2 linked regions of the Arabidopsis thaliana genome follow. The protein of the gene in region 2 interacts with the protein of the main gene of each other region in a pairwise test. Each region holds a gene or a part of one and is shown on either strand. Other genes may lie near its edges. The genes, in order: LOS4 and LNO1.

Region 1 (10,910 bases), on a different chromosome or scaffold from region 2:
TTTCTTGTTCAGTTTTACCATGTTATACCTTTTCGATATCTCTGATTTACCAGTCTTTACTTATTTTACAGTGCAGAATTATCCGTACAACTGAGCTCGCAACTGCGCAAGAAAAGCTTAATGAGCTTGAGAGGCAAAAAGAAGAGATCCTCAAATTCTACTCCCCTGGTTCTCTTCTTCATAAACTTCAAGGTAACAATTTACCATTGCAATGGATTCTCCCCTCGTCTCATTTTCTCTACTGTTCTAAACACCTTTTACTTGTTTTGCAGAGGCTATGAATCAGGTGGATGAAGAATCCGAAGCCCTGCAAGAAAAGTTCCTAGAGAAGGAGATTGATACAGCAGCATTTGTGCAGAAATACAAGAAGCTTCGTACTACCTATCATCGACGAGCATTGATCCATCTTGCCGCTAAAACGTCAAACATTTGAGATTAAAAAGCTTTACACATTGAATTCGAGACTTTGGTTGTGTATTATGACTCTTACCCATTGTTGTAAAAAAAATGCTTTGCTGTTTACTGTTTAGGTTCATACTAAAGTGATTGACATTGACATAAAAAATGTTTTCCTTTTCCCTTAACAAAAAATCTACAAAGTCTGAAACTCTCAGCAATCAGATAAAAAGATTACAAGAAAACCTCAAAGAGGTATACAAGTTTCTTTCTTAAAACAATCTCAAGAAAACAGACGACATAGTCTTTTAAGATGGTTTGAACACATGCTGTCTCTCTTCCTCACTCGTCCAGCAGGCCAGCTTCCTTTAATGCACTCTTATACTCTTCCTCTGAGTTCCACGACTTGATCTGCAGCAAAGTTTAAAATCGTTGGATACTGTTTTAACAAACACTTGAAAGATATATAGCAGTTTTCAGAAATCTTATAATACCTCCTTAACATTTGCTTCAAAATACTTCTCGATCTTCTCCATCACCTCTTTATCCCAGCCATCATCAAGCAGCAAGTTGAAAACCGCTCCTACAATACAAATACATAGTTCAGAAACTGATAAGAACTTATGGAAACACTTGAGAAAGAAAAAAAGAAGAATCAAAACTCACCTTTGCGACCAAACCGGCCAGCTCTCCCAACCCTGTGAAGGTACACCTCATAATCTGGCTCTCCAGTTTCATATTTAGTGGGAAGATTATAATTGACAACCAAATTCACCTGCAAGTATTGTATATAACCAACAAGAGGTATTAACTACGAAGCATCTTTGAGGTAAAACGAGAAGAAAGGAAAAGGCTCAAAGGACAATATTTACCCGCTGTTGGTCAAAACCTCTTGCAATGACATCGGTAGCAATGAGCACTTGAGTAAGGCATTCTTTAAACTCTTTAACTATCTTATCCCTGTCCGATTCAGTCAGATTACCATGGACACTGGTAACGTCATATCCCATTTCCGCAAGGGCTTTGTGCACCTTTTGAGCAGACGCTTTTGTTTTCACAAAGATAATGGTTTGCCCAATATCCCCAAGCTCCATAATCTGATCCTTGATGACTTCGATCTTGTTTTGCTCCTTCGGGCAAACAACTTTATACTGCTTCACCGAGTCCAAAGCCAGATCCTCTCTTTTGACAAACAATTGGTTGGGATCTTTGACTGTCCGCGCAACAAAATCTTTGACAGTTTCGTTAAAAGTTGCCGAGAAAAGAAGAACCTGTTGAAAATAGGTCAAGAACACAAGCACACAATCAAATCTAGCACGAGAAAGAAAGAAAAAGAGTTTCCTTTGAATTGAGATTAACAGCCATAAATATAGTGAAACACAAGCAGTCATTAGTACAGCTTTCTGCAGTGAAGATATTCATAATCATTTTAGCACAGACATATATGTCATCTTAAGATATGACGGCTCTAAACAACAGAAAAAAACACAGCTGAGGTGCTTCTATTTACTAAGAGCTTCTGAACATTGAAACAAGTATAACTATAAGCTCAGTAGACTATCTTGTGCCCCCTAGATATCACGATAGATATGCCACTAGATATCAACTGTCATCCTACTTATAATTCAAGAAGCATGACCAAATCAGACACTAGTTAAACAGACCTGGAAATTGGGATTAACTCTCCCAATGTCTTTCATTATCTTCAAGGAATCATCCCTAAACCCATCCTGCAACAGCAATGAATTAACAATTATCAACAACATATGAAGGGAAAATATAATCACATTATACAGAAGTTAAATCATTACAGTTGAGAAAATAACAAGACCAAGTAAAACAGAAGAAAGAGCATACCGTAGCAAGCATATGGTCAGCCTCATCAAAAACCAGAATCTTCAAATGATTTAGACCTAGTCTCTTAAATGCCATCCATTTCTTAAGCGTTCCAGGGGTGCCAATCACAACATGAGCAGAAACAGGAGCTCCTCTTGTTGCCGCCGGTGCACCTCTCGTTGAGTCAGGCACAGCCAACTCAGCAGTGATCCCAGTAAACTTCCCCATCTTCTGAAGAACTTCCATATTCTGTCATTCAACCATTAAAAGAAGTCAACAATCAGATTACTCTCAGATCATAACCAAAATCAGAGTAACTAAACAAACCTGATTAGCTAATTCTCTAGTGGGACAAATACAGAGAGCTTGAGGCTCTCTCAATGTGGGATCAACACGACTCAACATTCCAAGAACGAAACAAGTCGTCTTTCCAGATCCGTTATGAGCCTGGGCAATCAGATGCTTGTGTGGCGGCGTCATTATCATAGGCAAACTAATAGCTTGGATCTTGCTAGGCTTTTCGAATTTCATCTCAACGTACAAGCCTTTCATCAATTCAGGTGACAAGTTCAAGTCTTCAAATCTACTTGCTGATGTATATGGTGTGTCACCAGAAGTAACCTTCAAAAAACACCAGATTTCAAAATCAACCAAACGAATCTGGAAAATCTAATAACCCTAGACTGTAATTAGGATCAAAGAGAGAGAGGGAATTGAAGTAATACAGCTTTGATGTTAGAATCTTCAGGTTCCTCAAGAATAGAATCAGGTTTCTCTTCTTCCTTAATGCTCAATGAATTAAGCTCCGATACAGCTTCTTCTTCATCATCATCATCTTCAACATCGCCCCACTTTTTCTTCTCCGTCGTGGGCTCAGTCTTCTCGGCGCTATTAGATGCTTCAACGGTGGATGATGAAGATGACTCAACAACGGTGGGAACTTTCTCTACCGTATCCGCCATAGCTGTAGCCAACAAAAAACCAATCAAATTAGAAACCCAAATTCATCTTAACTTCTCCATTGATTCGTGAAAGAGCTGAGATTCTGAGAGAAGTAGAACCTTTGAAATTCGCGAATGAGAGAATCAGAGAGAGAGAAGGAAGACGATGAACGATTTGTGTTATGTTTGAAGTCGGAGACAATTTTGGGGAAAAAGTGAAAACCCCAAATAAATAAGAGTTGCTGCTTTACTTTGAAGCTACTAGTCAAGGATTGTAAAAATCACTGACGTTAATTTCAAGCTGCTAGTAAAAATGGAAATTTACTGATGTTAATTTATAAGCTACACGTGATTAAACCGACTCTAGTCTATGTTGTTTTTGTTTATAATTCGGTTTATCTTTCTGTTTTCTCTAATTTCAATTCGGTTCGACGTAAGAATATGAAGCTTAATAGTAAAAATGTAAAATAATTGAACTTAATTTCATGCTAGCCACAATTGAAATAACATAACCGACTCTACCAATGATTTTTTAATAGTTCGGTTTATTCTAGACGACCCAACTAAATCATTTTGGGCTTTAATTTATGTATAAACAAAACAATATGGCCCAACAGTCCAAATTTGTTACAAAAGAAGCCATTTTCTACTAATTTGGGTCTTGTACCAAGTAGAGATTTTTACTTCCATGGTGGTGATATGGCCCAAACTCTTGTTTTTTCCTTGTAATATTCTTCATAAGTTTTTTTAAAAAGCTTATGACTTTTCTATGTACAAGAAAGGAAATAAACCATGATGGCTTAAGCACAATAGAAGAAAGAAGAAAGGAAAAGAAAAAACCATGATGGTTTAACCACAATCTTTGAGGTGGATGCCACATTACCCAATACATTATTACAAGAACAACAACTAAAAGTTGGTGGAGCTCACACTTTGATTTCCTCAAACATATCATCTCTTATCAAGAAAACTGTATCCTATCAGAATTTTATATTCATGCCTCCAACGGTTCAACAGAAACCAAAATTAGATTATTGAAGTATTGAGCAATCAATCAATCAAGATTAGATGATTTCCCCAATACCCATATTTTTATTGATAGAGCTACCCTTCAAACCAAAGCCTCCACGCGTGGCCCGAATTGAAATTTCGCGATATGACGGAAGTTTATGTTCGAGGATGCAAAGATATTACTGATCATGGTCCCATGATCAATGACCAAAGAGACTGACCTCATAAACAATTTCCACCTACTCTATTGCACTAGCAAATGCGTTTTCTTTATCTTAAACATAAGCATGGGGAGAATGATTATATTTTGTATAACATGCATCATCTTCTTAAGTCTCCATTTTCTCACCACTACTCTCTATTTCTTTCTCTCTGCTTCTCTCTCTTCTCTATTTGTCCTAACGACCTGATTGCATTAGACAGGAACGAAAAGGAATGCAAAAGATGAGAGTTTCGGGGTTTAGAGTTCTTCTCTTGGTTTCTTGTTTCTTCTGCAAATCCAAAGGAGCTGTTGTTCCTGCACTCATCATGTTTGGCGACTCCATTGTTGACGTTGGCAACAACAATAACTTACTCAGCATTGTCAAATCCAACTTTCTTCCTTACGGTAGAGACTTCATCGACCAAAGACCCACCGGAAGATTCTGCAACGGAAAACTCGCTGTAGATTTCTCAGGTAAAGTCTTTCTCACAAAACCACATATATCTATCTCTCCATCAAGTATTACCTTCAAATACTTTTTCTCTCTTCCTAATCTAATTGGTTTTTTAATCTGCCTACTTGTGTCTAGCCGAGTACCTTGGTTTCTCTTCATACCCACCTGCATTCCTAAGCCGGGAAGCAAGCAACGAGAATATCCTGATCGGTGCCAACTTTGCATCAGCTTCTTCAGGATACTATGATGCCACATCTGTTCCATTTGTAAAGGAGACAACACAGTCAAACATCATTACACACATACCCAAGAAATGATCCATAAGGTTTTACTCTTCCTTTTGCAGGGCTCGATCTCCTTAACACGACAGCTGAGCTATTACAGGGCGTATCAAAATAGAGTAACGAGAATGATCGGGAGGGGGAACGCGCGCATACTGTTCTCTAGAGGTATCCACATTTTGAGTGCGGGATCTAGCGACTTTCTTCAGAATTATTACATCAATCCTCTACTCAACATCCTAAATACACCTGATCAGTTCGCTGACATTCTCCTGAGATCCTTCTCAGAATTCATCCAGGTACTTCTAAGTTTAGTAACGAACTTGTAGAACTCGATATTCATAATAAGGCAACCATATGAATGTGCAAATTTACAAGAAACACAAAAAAATCGTATCAGTTATTTACCCTTTTTTGTGTGAACAAGAATCATACTGTCACTTGTAACAGAATCTGTATGAACTAGGAGCAAGGAGAATCGGAGTGATATCGCTACCGCCGATGGGTTGCCTGCCTGCAGCTATCACTCTTTTCGGTGCAGGAAACAAAAGTTGTGTTGAGAGACTGAACAATGATGCTATCATGTTCAATACTAAACTTGAGAACACAACCCGGTTACTGATGAATAGACACTCAGGCCTCAGACTCGTCGCCTTTAATGTCTACCAACCTTTCCTGGACATCATCACCAACCCAACTGACAATGGTACACACCTGCAAAATCTAAATCCTCATTCAACTTTAGACCATGATAGAGTGAGCTATTCACAGGAAGAAGAACTCAGATATTTAATCTAGTTAGCAACTAACAAGATACCATTAACATCTTATTAAATGTCTAAACTACATGTATTCTAGGATTCTTTGAAACAAAAAGGGCATGCTGCGGAACAGGGACAATAGAAACATCGTTCCTTTGCAATTCTCTATCCTTCGGAACGTGTGTAAATGCCACAGGATATGTGTTTTGGGATGGATTTCATCCCACAGAGGCTGTAAACGAGCTGTTGGCTGGTCAACTACTGGGTCAAGGGATTTCTCTAATCAATTGAATTGAGCTTCATTCCAGTTGGATTGAATTCAAACTGTATACCTACAAATAGCTACCAAAGTTTGTCTCTCTCTCTCTATCTCTCTCTCTTCTCTCTTTCTCTTTCTCTCTCTATATATGTAACTCACAAATAAGAGACAGATTGTGTGTGCGTGTGTGTGACTGAATGTAGAAACTACCAATCTGGTCTGTGTCACTGTGTGATGGCCTGATGGGTCTATAGGTCCAAGATTTGTTTGAGAAGATCACAATCTTTGGTATTTTATTTTTGTTCCGAATCTACCTCTTTAACATTTCTAAGGTTGATTACAGCAAGAATTTTGGTAAAGCTTAAGAAGATTTTTTCAGCTTAGTTGATTATCATATATTCATATACAACTACCAAGAAGAAACAAGTTCCCATAATCTTAAGATAAACCAAACACACTGTTTACACCAGCCTTACTAGTTTAACTTGACAGAAGCCATATACATTGAATAGAATAAAGGATAAAAGGTCTAGGTGCATAACAAGATGAATACCTGGTTAGAGGTCTCTACGAGAGTTCAAATCCTGCATTTGAAGTAATCGCATACAATAGTTTTTCCCTCATAGTGCTTGCTCGTTTATACGTTGGAAGCTGAAGAAATCCAAAAAGAAAGACTGAACAAAAAAGATATAGGAATATTCACATGTAGACTACAAAGATAATTGGACTATTGAAACTTCACCTTAAGAGTATTGTAGCACGTAGAAGCAGATGGAAGTCTTTCTACATCTTGTCCTCCAATAGCAGCCCAAAGAGAGGTATCACAAGAGACCTGCAGAAGATGAAAAAGCACAAAAGTAAGAAAACAAAATTACCAAACAGAATATCAAACATACATTTCTAAGCTTAAGTTCAAAAACAAACTTTATGGATGATGAAGGTTGGCTGCAAGTATTTGAAACCAAGGAGTGGTGCCCGAGAACAACTAGTCACAAATTTGAGGAGCAAGCAACGTTCACTCGGTTCAAAGCCTTTCATGACCTGAGACAGGATGCCCAGAGAGAAATTATACAAGCCGCACTCAAACTCTCAGCATATGTCATAAATTGGCAAACAGAATAGAAAGAAAACGTAGAGATCAGGACTTCTGATTAAGAGTTATTACCTCCCAGAAGATTTTGATTGTTCGACTGCTATCACTGTAACCACCAGTGTATTTTGTATTCCTCCTTAAGTCATCAACATCAATATCATGGTTTCCTCCTGAGAGTAACTGTAAAGGAATCTTTGTGAGACAATAGCTTTGTACAAAAGAAAAAAATCTAGAAATCATTACATTAGAGCCGCACACCTGATTAAATTCATGGGCATTAAATAGTTTCAACCAAGCAGGAGATATAAGGTCAGTCAATCCTCTGTAAAATGCATTTGAAAAGGGCACAATCTGCATTGGAGACAAGACATAGGACAACATGTTTACCTCATTAATTATGAAGTAACTTTTGTTTTGCAGGATGATTGACCTTAAGATTATTTATAAAACGTTAAAAAGACGATACCTGCCGGTTAAGTTTATAGTCAGCCATTGCATGAATATATTGCATTTTGTTCTCATTCGTGACTGAAGTATCCTTCCCACCGGGTTTGAGTTCAATTATGCTCATTTTTCCACAAAACTCTTCAGTGACTGTGAAATCCAGACAGAGTTCCTTCAAATCACCATCATAATGCTGCATATAAACAAAGTCTTGATCTCAGAAACCCTTTCCTGTGATACTTATTACAAGATTGAATTTTGACATATGAGGCGACAGATATATCACCTGCAACGGTTTTTACCTTGACATACATGAGGTTCCTGTAGAGCTCTGGATCAAGCCCTGATAGTTCATCAATAAAGCTATAACGCCCCAAAAGCTTCTGGATGAAAACGTGTGAAAAAGAGTAATCCAGCAGTATTCCCTCATATAGAGCTTTTCCAACAATTCTTCCAAGAAACTCAATCATCTGAATCCCATTCTCAAGGTGCCGTGCAGATGGGCTAGGAACAAGCAACCTATCTGAAGTAGGGGTTTGCGAGAATAACCCATACCTTTTGGAAAAGAAAAATAATGGACATACCAATAAATAAATAAAACTTAATCCACTGGAACAAGTAACAACAAAGACTAGAATAAAGTATGCATACATACAGAAGAGCTTACTCAGTAGCAAAAGCTGCTTTTGTTATGTCAGTCAAAAACTCTTTTGAAAGCCCACCATAGTCTAGGCCAGCCTCAGGAAGGCCAGATTCATTCACAAACGAGACATGGATGGATGATTTTAGCCTGCTACCAATTGAATTCAGTTGTTGAAATCCATCTTCAACCACATGACCTCGACGAACAACTATCTCTATTGACCTCGCACCAGGTGCATCCACTTCACCAGCCATTTTCCTTGAAGCTTTATCCTTGCTTATAAACTCTCTAAACACATGGACCCTGCAGGGATAGCACAACATGAACATCATTCAACAGATAAAGTTAGTTAGAAGTTATTGTAGCACAAAGATAAAAGACATGGAAAGGCTATGAAGGGTAATCAACGTAAGATTACCTCTCCTCAAATGGAAAGACATGCGGAGTAATTGTTATAACAGAACCCATGCTTGGAGTTGTAAGAACATCACTGGTTGGTAAAACCTCATGAGTCCTGGCAGCAAATGCAATTGGAGGTCTACTAGTTCTACCAGGTGAGAGCCACAGGGCAGAAGCACAAAAAGGGTGCCTGCAATCTCTTTCATACAATAAATGCAAACATCTGATAGCAGAATCCATCAGTTGTCTACTCTCAGGACCTGTGCCTCGCAACAATCCATAGTACACGAGTGTATTAAGCATTGATGCAATTCTCTGTTGCTTCTCTAGCATAAAGGGGACCTATATGACATAACAAACCTTTAGTAAATATCAGACTAATGACATATAAGCTGCAGGAAACCATATAGCATATTTACCTGCTTTTCATAAAACTGTATGTCATCAAGAACAACGAGTAAATGTGCATAGGTTGCACAAAATAGATGAAGCAGGCATGACACTTCTTTGGAGATACCTACAGGACCACCCCTCAGAGTTTCCACATCCCATACATCATTAGTTGACTCATTAACCTGGCCTGATCCTGGTTGATCACTAGTACACTCCACATGTTCACGTGGTCCCGGTGATTTACCAGAAAACTTGTTTAGCACATTCACCCACTTGTTGACACTGTCATTCTTGAGATGTTTCAATTTCTTCTCAGAAGGACTTCTTGTATTCCATGAAGTTTTAGCAGATCCATGAGATGCATCGTCAGCAGTGCAACCATTTTCAGGGAGTAGGACACTCTCTAGAGAATTCCACAAAGAGACAATGTATCCAGGACAGAAGGATAACATGTTAAGGACAGGCAAAGGTCCTAGAACAGGATTCATCACGCAGAAGATTCTCAACATGCATGAATATAATCGTGCTATATCAAGCAGTCCTAGTGTTTCTGATCCTTTCTTACTACTCGTTGATGCATCTTTATCTGCTATAACACGAATTTCTTTCCCAGAAGCTGCCAACAGTTTTGCGAGATGCCACTGTTGACATACTGGTCGAAGCATTTCCACAAAAGAAATCTTAACTGAATTTCCTTTCTCTGTCTCATTCGATGTGGCCTCAATATCAAGATGAATATCCTGAATTCCAACACTTTCAACCTGAGACAATAGATTCTCGGCGAGAGTCACAATAACATGAACATACAAGACATAAAACATCTCTGGATTTGATTCTTGTGGATCCATAAAATCGGTTTCACTAACTGTTGCGAGGGATATGATGTTCCCGATAACCCATCCAACAGAAGGTATCTCCATGGTACAACTTTGCTTCTCTGAATTCTCCATTTCCGATATTATGTTCAAGATTTTGTCCTTCAAAAGCTGGTGTCACCTGCCACACTTTAATAAGCACTTCGATTTTTTGAAAAAAATAAGTAACTAGTTCGTCGAAAAAAGTAACAGAGATTTAAAACTAGTCAGCCAATTCTCTCTACATCCTATTTGAGACTTTAAGAAGAAATTAATTGGTCTAAGAAAATATGATATGAGTTTTACCAATATGGTGTGAAAGCTTGGCATTAGTATGCTCTTGTGCTTCAGTGCACGTATGAGAGCGCTTGGCAGGTAGCAAACAAGCCGAGGAATCGTCAGTATTAGAGAAACATATTCTTCAACAGCCAAATTCGTGTCCGGTTGGTTGTCATCAACAAAAGCAGGCTGTTTCACGTGGAATGGTCGTAGAGCCAAAGTTACTGCACTTGTAGTAATCACTAGTCTCTCGTCTGTATGTTTGGTTAATGTCTTGATATATCTCCGAACTGCTGAGTAATATCCACTTTTACAGCTCCCTATAAACTGAATAATTATCTTTTTAGCTGTTTCTGCATCTTCAAAGTTTTCATTTGTAATAATCTTCCAGCTTTTGGGATCAGTTAAAACAATAAGAATACGTAATAGAAGGGCATTGACACCAATAACATCTTTTATCCTTTCCTGCGAATAATTACACTCCGTGAGAAGGAAAGAGCAGAGAGAAACCATCCTTCGTGTTTGACAGGCCCATGTTTTACTATCTTCAGATGTACCAACTGCTAGTGAACAAAAATTGTACCCCTGATCTGCAAAAGACAACAAGATTTATTCCCTCCTTATTTGCAAGACAAACAATTCAAATTAAAGCAAGACAAAAAAA
Region 2 (10,208 bases):
ATCATTGGAAATGATTAACATTCATCCAAAACGTATTTAAATGTTATTGAATATATTAGTTAGAGAAATAATCTAAATGTTATTGATTTGGATGTAAAACATTTTGCTACCTACTATAAAAAATGCCTACGCTACGCAATCAAGTGATATCACAACATGTTTTCAAATACTGAATACTTTGGGGTTAAATTAAATCGTATAAATGCAATGAGGGTTCACCTGTCACGATGGATCCATCAAGGATAACGCAATCTCACTTGCTATATCGTCTGTGGTTAGAGTAAAAGTCTCTTCAATGTCTCTTTCTTACAATCTATCAAATTTTCATCAGAAAACAAAAAGAAAAGTAAGAAATAGATTTTAAAACATGAAATAAAGAAAAGATAAAAAGAAAAATCTTCATAAAGAAGAAAAGATAATGTTAAATCAATATTATCATGTTTTGGAGAAATACGCCAACATAGACCAATGGATGAACAGAAGATTTGTTATTTTTTCCCAATATAGGTTTGACCCAAACATCTATGTGACTAGTAATGTCAAATAATTTTTATTTCGCATGGATAGTTGAACATTGAATAGTGTCACTTTCCATATATATACATAAATATTCGGAAAGTACATTTCGTAACATTTTATCCAAGAAATTAAGGATCTCAGTTAAACAATTGAAACAATTACATGTTTTTGGTAATATATATATCCAACCAAGTACCAAGGTGAATTTTCATATACAAGAAGAAAATTAGAAAGGTTTCTTCCCTAACAGACTTTGAATTTAAATTCAGCAGCTCTTGCAAAAAAAAGGGTTCTGACTGGTTATGGAAGTTAAAACTATTAGATGTTTGTTTCGAAAATATTTTTAAAATTCTATCAGAAGAAAATGAAATGGGTGTGCTGTGTGCATGAAGGCTATATATTCCACAAGTTGACACTGAAAAAATATATTTTCTGTTTCTGTTGTTTTTCTTTCAAGGTTACTTTTGTTGATTTGTTTAAAATTAACATGTCAGTCATTCTGGGAGTTGTCTCTATAAATTTTTCTGTGATTTGTCGATTACTTGGAAAACCAATCAAAAATTCGGCACGTGAATATCTTGCCAACATAGTCTCACCCGGAAAGACCTTTCGCAGATTCTTCCTCAGAATTCGACACATGAGAATTCATCATCACCAGAATCTCACTGGTCAAGATATTCTTACTCCAAAATTTTAGAGCATGTATGCTTTCCATAGTGAGAATTTCCGTCGTATCTTTCTTATTCGATGCATGCATCAACACTGCACCAATAACATATGACTCTGATATTACTCGTTGGGCTGGAAACATTCACCACAATCTTATCAGTCAGTTTTAACCTTAAAAACTCGATAAATCAAGAACACTTGAATCGGAAAGCAAAAAAAAAAACAGAACTAGAAGAAACTTTCATGTATTGTTGTTTGTTTTATCAAACTCAAATCATAATTTGAATGTCTTTTGAATCTGAATTTTGTGGAACTAAAACGTTTTAGACTTTGATGCAACTAGAAAATATAACAATGCATGCAAAACACTTTTACAAGTTTGGTCCCTCCATTTGAACAACTAGAACAAAACTTTTAAAGAAACTCTAGAACACATTTGATTAATACTAACAAGCGTGGGAAGTAAGAAACTAATTTGAGGCATTTGTACATACCATATTGTAATAACTCCTTAGTGTTGTTATTTGTCTCACTGCCTGGGATTGTTGTTGGTGAGGAACAGTGTTGATAATGGCCCATTATTAATGGGTCGCAACTTGCAAGACATATGGGTCTTCACTATTAAGACTCTGCAACATTAAATACATTTCTCGTGGGGTTCATCCTAATATGCATATTGGTGTATGTATCTGTGCCTGCATGATTTAATGACCAGCAAAAAACAGTAATGGTCAAAGTAAATAACATGATGGGAGAAGGTGAAAAAAGAGTTTAAACCTCGGAAGAGTTAATACTGGTAAAACTCTGGGTCTTTCTTCAACGTTCTCAATTATTACAACTTTACAAGTACTACAAACATTTTCGATAAAGACAACAATACACACACTTCTTCAAGTTATGTAACAATCCACATTTGAAAGCAAACCTTACAATATGTAACACATCAACGATTTTCACACTATAAATATAAAACTAAACTTACCTTCAATGTGTTAACAAGGACAGGATCCGAGTTCTGATTTGAAGAAACATCTGAAGACAATAACTGTAAACAGAAGAGAGTACTAAGTAAAGGAGCAGTAGAAATCACAGTAGCCAATGTTCATGACATCTAAATATTAGCAAGAAAGATGCTCTTAACGCCAGTTGATTTAGATAAATTGAATAGTCAACTCATAATGATACATAAACTCTTACCTCTCTGCCAATGAACACGAGTGCAACATCAACAGGTTGCTGAAGTTTTTTCTCCGAGCACTAAACAATGGAGACAATAAAATAGATATGAGAATGAAACCATTGCATTGTGTAAAAATATTTGCTTGCGGACTCAACGCGAACATACCAGAAAATTAGACCAACCTCCTAGAGTGAAAACAGAGTCTACTAGATCCTTTGCAGACATGACTTGATAATTTACATCCGTTTCACCATTAGCATACCTACAATTTCATCAATGTGGACATCAATATAAGCACAATTCCAACAAAAGTTCTCAAACTCTTACACCAAAACCAGAGTACAATAAAATTTGGTAAATTTACTCACATAAGCCTTGAAAATGGTGAAAACAAGGATCAACAAAAAGATAAAAAGAGGCAGGCCTAACTGGAGATGCGGAGACCAGAGGAAAGCAGGAACTGTGGAAGGTGAAGCTAATCCAAAATCCACGAGAGACGCAAACTCAAGAACTACCAACAACTACGCCAGTAGAGCAGAGGTAAAACGTCACCGTTTGCTATAATTTACCCACAAAACCGATGTAGGAGAACCGGTCTGCGTTTAACGGTTGGATTAGCTAAGAGAACCGGTCTGATAATCTCTTGTTAACGGTCTTTGTAGAGGATGTGAACTTTATCTAAGTGTGTTCAAAGGCTTCATATTTTGAGACTTTATATTTTGATTTTCAACTTGGATACACTAGCTAGATGAAAACAATGATGATCCTCTTCTCTGCCTTTTACGTGCGCTTTATTATTCTGTGCTAGATGCAAAGAACAATATCCCCTAGCAATGAATCTTTTTTAGGATATACATAAGACAGTACGTATTGATAATAATTAATGGCAAGCTTCATCAAACAGCAATGAAGAAGGTACTCATCCAATGCAAATCTTGTCATCCTTGTATCGTCCTTTGTAGGTGAATCATCATTAGGCTGCAGAACACTGTTTTCACAGAGAGCGTGTTCAGTTTGATGGACTAAAACTGACCTTATATTATATATCAAGCTCAATCTGCTGGTCTCACGAAAAACTCGTCTCTCTATTGTACTTAAACCCTTACCACTAAATCCCCTGAATGTCTTTTACTATTTCTTAACTCTTGAACTACTGGAATTCAATTTGAGCTCATTTCTTATTACCATGTTCATTTGGAGATACGATAGAGTTAGTTTATCAACTAAACAAGATCACACGATTGATCAACTAAACAAGAAATATAAAACCAAAAAGACAAAGAAAAAGAGTTGAGATCGGAAAGAAGGAGAACGACGATCAAGCCTCACGATATTTATGTTCCTTCGAGACCTTTGGTATAAGCGAATCACATCTTGTGCGGCAGAAATATTGTAAATAGTCTGAATTTCAAAATAAATTACTATATATATATCACAATACATGTCGGTCTGGTTTAGTAAAGAGAACCGGTCGCTGAATCTGGTTCAGCTAAAAGAACCGGTCTGGTGTGTCAGATAAGGGCCAATTGGGCCATTAACACATTACGGCCCATATAAATTTAAATTAACAAACCATGAACCGTCGTCGGCTCATCGGACCAGTGTGGTATCACCGGCACTTGTAATCAGAGAGACTCACTCTCGAGTTTCGTCCTCTCTACTTCCCGCTCAAAATCCTTCGGATTCAGCCATTGAAACAACCTTGAGAAGAGTTTGAAAGATGAGCAGAGTTGAGATTGAAGAAGATACGGAAGGAGATCGCATCTCAACGAACGATTACTACTTCGAGAGAATCGGCGAACCTATCAGTATCAAAGAAGATGATGCTCAATACGATCTCGAAAACCCTCCGTCACAGCCTCTCGCTATCTCAGAACGCCACGCCGTCCTCTTTGTCGCACATTCCTCCGGTTAGTTTTCGTAATCGGCGATGGTAGAGGTTTTTGCTCTGTGCTGTTTATTTACTGTGACCGTTTTGTGTGGAATATTAGGGTTTTTTGTTGGGAGGACTAATGATGTAATTTCTGCATCGAAGAACAGTAACGGGAACGGTGATAAGGTTTTTATCCAGGATTTGAGCCTCGTCGATGTTCCTGTTGGGGACGTTCGTATATTGTCTCTCTCAGCGGATGATTCGATTCTCGCTGTCACCGTTGCTGCTGATATTCATTTCTTCTCTGTGGATTCACTTCTTAAGAAGGTACACGTCTCAGAAGTAGCAGACTAGCTGGATTGCTTTGTTGATTGATAGTTTACTTACTTAATCTGTTCCTTTGTTGCAGGATGCAAAACCTTCTTTTTCTTATTCACCTGATGAGTCAGGCTTCGTTAAGGATTTTCGGTGGAGAAGGAATGATAAGCATTCTTATCTTGTTCTTTCGAATACTGGGAAGCTCTTTCATGGAATTGATAATGCACCCCCTAGACATGTTATGGATGCTGTTGACGCCGGTTTGTTTCATCTCTATTGCTACTTCTTCAGCAAAAAAGCATGTTTTTGGCAATTATGTAAGATCGACTCTGTAGGAATTTACTTGTAAACTTTGTTTTGTTTGTCAGTTGAATGGAGTTCAAAAGGGAGTTATATCGCTGTAGCTCAAGATAACAGCCTTCGGATTTTTTCGTCAAAATTTAATGAGAAGCGGTGCATAGCACTATCATTTGACTCTTGGATTGGTGATTCCGATGAAGACTGTTTCGTGAAAGGTATGTTGCAGGTTTTGGCCTTCTTCTTTCTTACCAGTATTTTCCGTTTTGTTTCAAATTTCATTGTTGTTGTAAGGTATTTGAGATCTTTTCTTATGGACTGAGTCATACTGTATTCTGGGGCTTGGTCGTGATATATACAAACTGATCCTGTTGAAATTTCTCGTTTCCTGCTATCTCCCATCACACTTCCATTACAAAGGTCATAAATGGCTCTCAAGTTAAGCCCTCTCAATGAATGACTGTTTACTAACAATACTCTGCAACAGTTGATTCTATCAGATGGGTACGCAACAACTGTATTCTTCTTGGATGCTTTCAGCTGATTGAAGGCAGGGAAGAAAATTACCTTGTTCAGGTTATCAGGAGTCCAGATGGGAAGATTTCTGATGTGAGTAACATTTCTATTGCATTGATTTTGCTGCTGAGGCGTAGATAGTTAGGCATAACCCCTTTTCGGATGGAATAAAACAATAGGATCTGTAACTTTACTTATATTTTTTTAATCTGATTTGTGAGTTTTTGAACTTCTTTGCAGGGTTCAACCAATCTGGTTGCTTTATCCTTCTCCGATTTGTTTCCATGTTCTATGGATGATCTTGTCCCGGTCGGTGTTGGACCTCATTTACTCTTTAGCTACATAGACCAATGGTACGTCAGGCTAATTTTACTATTCTTTCTATTCTTTTTATTTTGATTTCTCTTTTCATAAATACTCCACTTTTCTTGCTCGCTGCTAGCCATTTGTCATTCTTTCCCACTGTATATGGAATCTTAAAGTTTTTGTCCATACATAAACTATCTTGGAAGGGCTGTAAATTACCAAGAATGTTCTAACGAGAATGGTTTTCAAATACAACTAACTATGATACGTGTTCCGCATTATATACTAGAATTAAATTTGAGCTCATATTATATTTATCCATTTCGTTTGGAGATGCAACAAAGTCAGTTTAATTGTTCCTGACATTTCCTCTTTTTATATTAATAAACGGACTATGTAAACTACCACTATTTTCGATGTGAAGATGGTAAATGTTGCTGTGTTTTCACCTCACCCTACAGCAAACTGGCGGTCACAGCAAACAGAAAGAGCATAGATGAGCATATTGTTTTACTGGATTGGTCATCTGGTGATGATAAAAGTGCAGTTTCCGTTGTTGATATTGATCGTGAGACCTTTTTGCCAAGGATTGGGCTCCAAGGTATGCAGTCCATAGTTTCTGTATTGTATGTGTACTTTTCCTACAATGACACGTTCAATATAAAGAAGATAATTTGTTTTTTCAGAAAACAACGATGACAATACGGTCATGGGACTCTGTATCGATAGGGTTTCTATAGAGGGGACTGTTAATGTCCGTTCCGGAGATGATGAACTTAAAGAACTTCAACCATATTTTGTTCTTGTGTGCCTCACTTTGGAAGGGAAGCTGGTCATGTTTAATGTTGCTAGGTAGGCTTTATTTCTCTCAGTGGTTTAACTCATTGCTGTTGACAACATTACTTAAAAAACATTAATTTGTTTTCCCCGACAGTGTTGCAGGACGGCCAGCTTCATCTGATACTGATTTGGCCTCTTCTTCTGATATAGAAGATGCTTATACCCCTTTGATTGAAGATGACCTTTCTAAACAATCTTCTGAAAAACATCAACAGTTGAATATTGCAGTACAAAATGATCAGAAACACCTCAACACAGAGAAGTTCTCTACTGAACAAAGGTTGCCAAATGAAAACATTTTTAGCAAGGAATTCGAGTCTGTGAAAAGCTCAGTGTCTGGGGACAACAACAAGAAGCAAGAACCGTATGCTGAAAAACCGTTACAAGTTGAAGATGCTCAACAAAGCATGATTCCTAGGTTGTCCGGAACAAGTTTTGGGCAACTACCCATGTCCTTAGGATATGACACCAACAAATTTGCAGGATTCGGTCCTGCTCTCCCTGTTTCCGAAAAGCTTCAAAAAGACATATTTGCGCAGTCCAATTCTATGCATTTGCAGGCCAATGTGGAGTCAAAGAGTACAGCAGCTTTTTTTGGATCTCCTGGCCTGCAGAACGCAATTTTGCAGTCACCGCAAAATACGTCATCTCAGCCATGGTCAAGTGGGAAAAGCGTCTCACCTCCAGATTTTGTATCTGGTCCCTTTCCTTCTATGAGAGATACTCAGCATAAGCAATCTGTACAGTCTGGAACTGGTTATGTAAACCCTCCTATGAGCATCAAAGATAAATCTGTACAAGTTATTGAGACTGGTAGAGTATCAGCGCTGAGCAATTTAAGTCCTCTGCTAGGCCAAAATCAGGACACTAATGAAGGGGTAGAGAAAATTGAGCCAATACCTTCTATCCGTGCCTCTCAATTGTCACAACAGGTGAAATCTTCCTTCGAAAAATCAGCCAGTCATCAGCAGCACAAAACTCCGCTCAGTACTGGACCTCTGAGACTTGAGCATAACATGTCAAACCAACCCAGTAATGTAAGGTTTACTCATGAATTCATGATAGTAATTAGTTTCTCAATGATTTTTTCGTGTGGATATGTTTTTTCCAGGAGAGAGTCATCCGACACTCATGCTTTCACAATCATGCCTTGCTGTAGTATTTTACTTACTGGACTGATACCATTAGCGTAACTGACTCTTCCTTTTTTGCACCAGATAAATGAGATGGCCCGAGAAATGGATACACTTTTACAGTCCATTGAAGGACCGGGTGGTTTCAAGGATTCTTGCGCGTTTATACTGAAAAGCAATGTTGAAGAACTGGAGCAAGGACTTGAAAGTCTTGCTGGCAAGTGCCAAACGTGGAAGGTAATATGTAAAAGTTCACGTATTTTGTTATTGGTTCATATTATTTTTGGATTCCCTCTTTTAATATCTGACCAAACCACCTTCCAATAAAAAAAATACTGTTGGTGATTCTGGTCCTTCTAAATTGCTAACTCATTTGGTGTGGTGGTCTTCAGAGCACAATTCACGAGCAGCAAGCAGAGATCCAACATCTTCTTGACAAAACAATTCAAGGTGATCTATTTATTTTACCATCCCCATATGTAGCGCAAAAACATTGTTAGTAGGTAGAATTGTGTTTTACTTGAAAAGGTATTCTAAAGCCGCGAGGCCCGTAAAAGGCAAACTAGGATTGTTGTAAATTTATATTACTTCTAAGCACTGTCAGTGATATCTAGAAATTGAGGCAAGTTTAACTTTCATCCCCATTACATCATTAACCCGCCAGACTTCAACTCTCAACCTAAATTGAGAAGTTTAGAAGAAGGGAACGAATCCTGATACATGCACATTAGTCTCATATCTGATATTTGTATATGATGGTGATAAAGCGTGAGCTCCAGTATGATAGTCAGCATAAGCGTGTGCTTTAGATGAGGTTCTTGCATTTTTACACATGTTTCTCTGGAAGTCCCTAGACTAAAGTTTGTTCTCGTTCTTTTGGTCTTCCCTATTATATTCAGTATCGTTTTCATATCTTACACTGGAATCTAAGCTGCAAATTAGCAGGTTGTTATTATGTTTTCTTATTATTGTTTCATGTGGGGATTTCAGTTTTGGCAAAAAAGACATACATGGAAGGTATGTATAAGCAAACTGCTGATAACCAGTACTGGCAACTTTGGAACCGCCAGAAGTTGAATCCTGAGCTTGAGGCCAAGCGGCAGCATATAATGAAACTAAATAAGGTTTTTTACGTGTTGATATATCTCCCTCATCCATCTGTTACTACTTTTAGCTCGCTGTTGTCATTTATCTTCTATTTTTCTCATTCTAGGATTTGACTCATCAACTGATTGAACTAGAGAGATATTTTAATCGGCTTGAACTCGATCGCTACAATGAGGATGGTGGACATCCTGTGGCACGAAGAGGCGTGCCAAATAGGTCTGCTCCTTCAAGGTATTCTATTGGATCAGTTGTGAAAATTTTAAGGAAGAAAACACCATCACAAGAAATACTATAAGTTGGTCAAAACGTCCCCTTTTTTTGCAACTCATATTGGGTTGATTCTTTTTGCAGACGTGTGCAATCCCTTCACAGCCTTCATAACACAATGAGTTCCCAATTGGCTGCTGCTGAGCAACTCTCTGAGTGTCTCTCAAAACAAATGACATATTTGAAAATCGATTCACCTGTAAAAAAGAATGTGAAGCAGGAGTTGTTCGAGACAATTGGGATCCCTTACGATGCTTCTTTCAGCTCACCAGATGCGGTAAAAGCTAAAAATGCATCTTCAGCAAAAAACCTATTACTCTCTTCTATCCCCGCAAGTATAAATCAACAGTCAAGACAACGTCAGTCATCTGCTATGAAAAATTCTGACCCTGAAACTGCTAGGAGGAGAAGAGAATCACTAGACAGGGTAATTTTTGTATGAAATCTTTGACTCAGTACTAGCCCTCACGGTATATGCACATATTCTCTAGTATATTAAACTGTGAAGAATTTATATGCACTCCTTTATTTATGGTGTATCCTGACGTGTGGCTCTACTTTTTGTGATCTATTTACAGAATTGGGCTGCTTTTGAGCCTCCAAAAACAACTGTCAAAAGGATGCTTCTGCAGGAGCAACAGAAGACGGGTATGAACCAACAGACTGTCTTGAGTGAGAGACTACGGTCTGCGAATAATACACAAGATCGATCACTGCTTCACGTGAAAGATCATGCATCACCTGTAGTCTCCTCGAATAAGGGTGAGCTAAGATATACTGCAGAGTGCATTAATTTGATCTCGAAGAATGTTTTTGTGTTTCATTTGTTTTTTATATCTACTATATTGCTTCTCTGGTTTGATTGTGTAACACTTTGAGCAGGTATTATGGAATCATTCCAACAAGACACATCTGAAGCTCAATCAACCCCATTCAAAACGAGGCCACCTATGCCACAATCTAACAGTCCCTTTACCATCTCTCCAATCTCTGCGTCAAAACCAAGTTTCAATTGGTCTGGAAATAAGTCTAGCAATACAACTTCTTATGCTGAGGAATCTGCCCCATCGCAGATTAAGGATACAAGGACAGTTTCACAACCAGGGGGATCAAGTTTTCTTCCGAAACGACCAGTGGCCTCGACTGTACTTGAACAGACAGAAAAGAAGGCTGGAGAATTCAA

What was found.
Region 1: the proteins of LNO1 (region 2) and LOS4 interact in a two-hybrid assay, tested with the Arabidopsis thaliana proteins (one study listed by BioGRID).

The regions. Positions count from the first base shown.
Region 1 is NC_003074.8:19,680,252-19,691,161, reverse strand, and holds LOS4 (P-loop containing nucleoside triphosphate hydrolases superfamily protein), read right to left. Parts: upstream 3,423-10,910; 5' UTR 3,294-3,422; intron 3,197-3,293; 5' UTR 3,195-3,196; coding exon 2,958-3,194; intron 2,854-2,957; coding exon 2,560-2,853; intron 2,482-2,559; coding exon 2,254-2,481; intron 2,127-2,253; coding exon 2,061-2,126; intron 1,668-2,060; coding exon 1,269-1,667; intron 1,172-1,268; coding exon 1,063-1,171; intron 980-1,062; coding exon 891-979; intron 808-890; coding exon 739-807; 3' UTR 501-738; downstream 1-500. Other genes in the region: VPS37-1 (Modifier of rudimentary (Mod(r)) protein), read left to right, coding at 72-192, 273-433; AT3G53100 (GDSL-like Lipase/Acylhydrolase superfamily protein), read left to right, coding at 4,620-4,860, 4,976-5,106, 5,187-5,420, 5,572-5,827, 5,980-6,173; UPL7 (ubiquitin-protein ligase 7), read right to left, coding at 6,709-6,792, 6,884-6,973, 7,066-7,182, 7,307-7,414, 7,493-7,585, 7,701-7,871, 7,981-8,233, 8,346-8,624 and 3 more. UniProt on the Arabidopsis thaliana protein: ATP-dependent RNA helicase essential for mRNA export from the nucleus. Plays an important role in the positive regulation of CBF/DREB transcription factors.
Region 2 is NC_003070.9:20,736,930-20,747,137, reverse strand, and holds the start of LNO1 (Nuclear pore complex protein), read left to right. Parts: upstream 1-3,963; 5' UTR 3,964-4,088; coding exon 4,089-4,278; intron 4,279-4,359; coding exon 4,360-4,568; intron 4,569-4,650; coding exon 4,651-4,819; intron 4,820-4,927; coding exon 4,928-5,074; intron 5,075-5,343; coding exon 5,344-5,465; intron 5,466-5,612; coding exon 5,613-5,725; intron 5,726-6,139; coding exon 6,140-6,279; intron 6,280-6,364; coding exon 6,365-6,530; intron 6,531-6,612; coding exon 6,613-7,555; intron 7,556-7,735; coding exon 7,736-7,888; intron 7,889-8,043; coding exon 8,044-8,101; intron 8,102-8,641; coding exon 8,642-8,775; intron 8,776-8,864; coding exon 8,865-8,989; intron 8,990-9,109; coding exon 9,110-9,461; intron 9,462-9,603; coding exon 9,604-9,787; intron 9,788-9,907; coding exon 9,908-10,208. Other genes in the region: AT1G55546 (2-C-methyl-D-erythritol 4-phosphate cytidylyltransferase), read right to left, coding at 2,029-2,037, 2,171-2,233, 2,386-2,445, 2,534-2,630, 2,798-2,889, 3,236-3,310.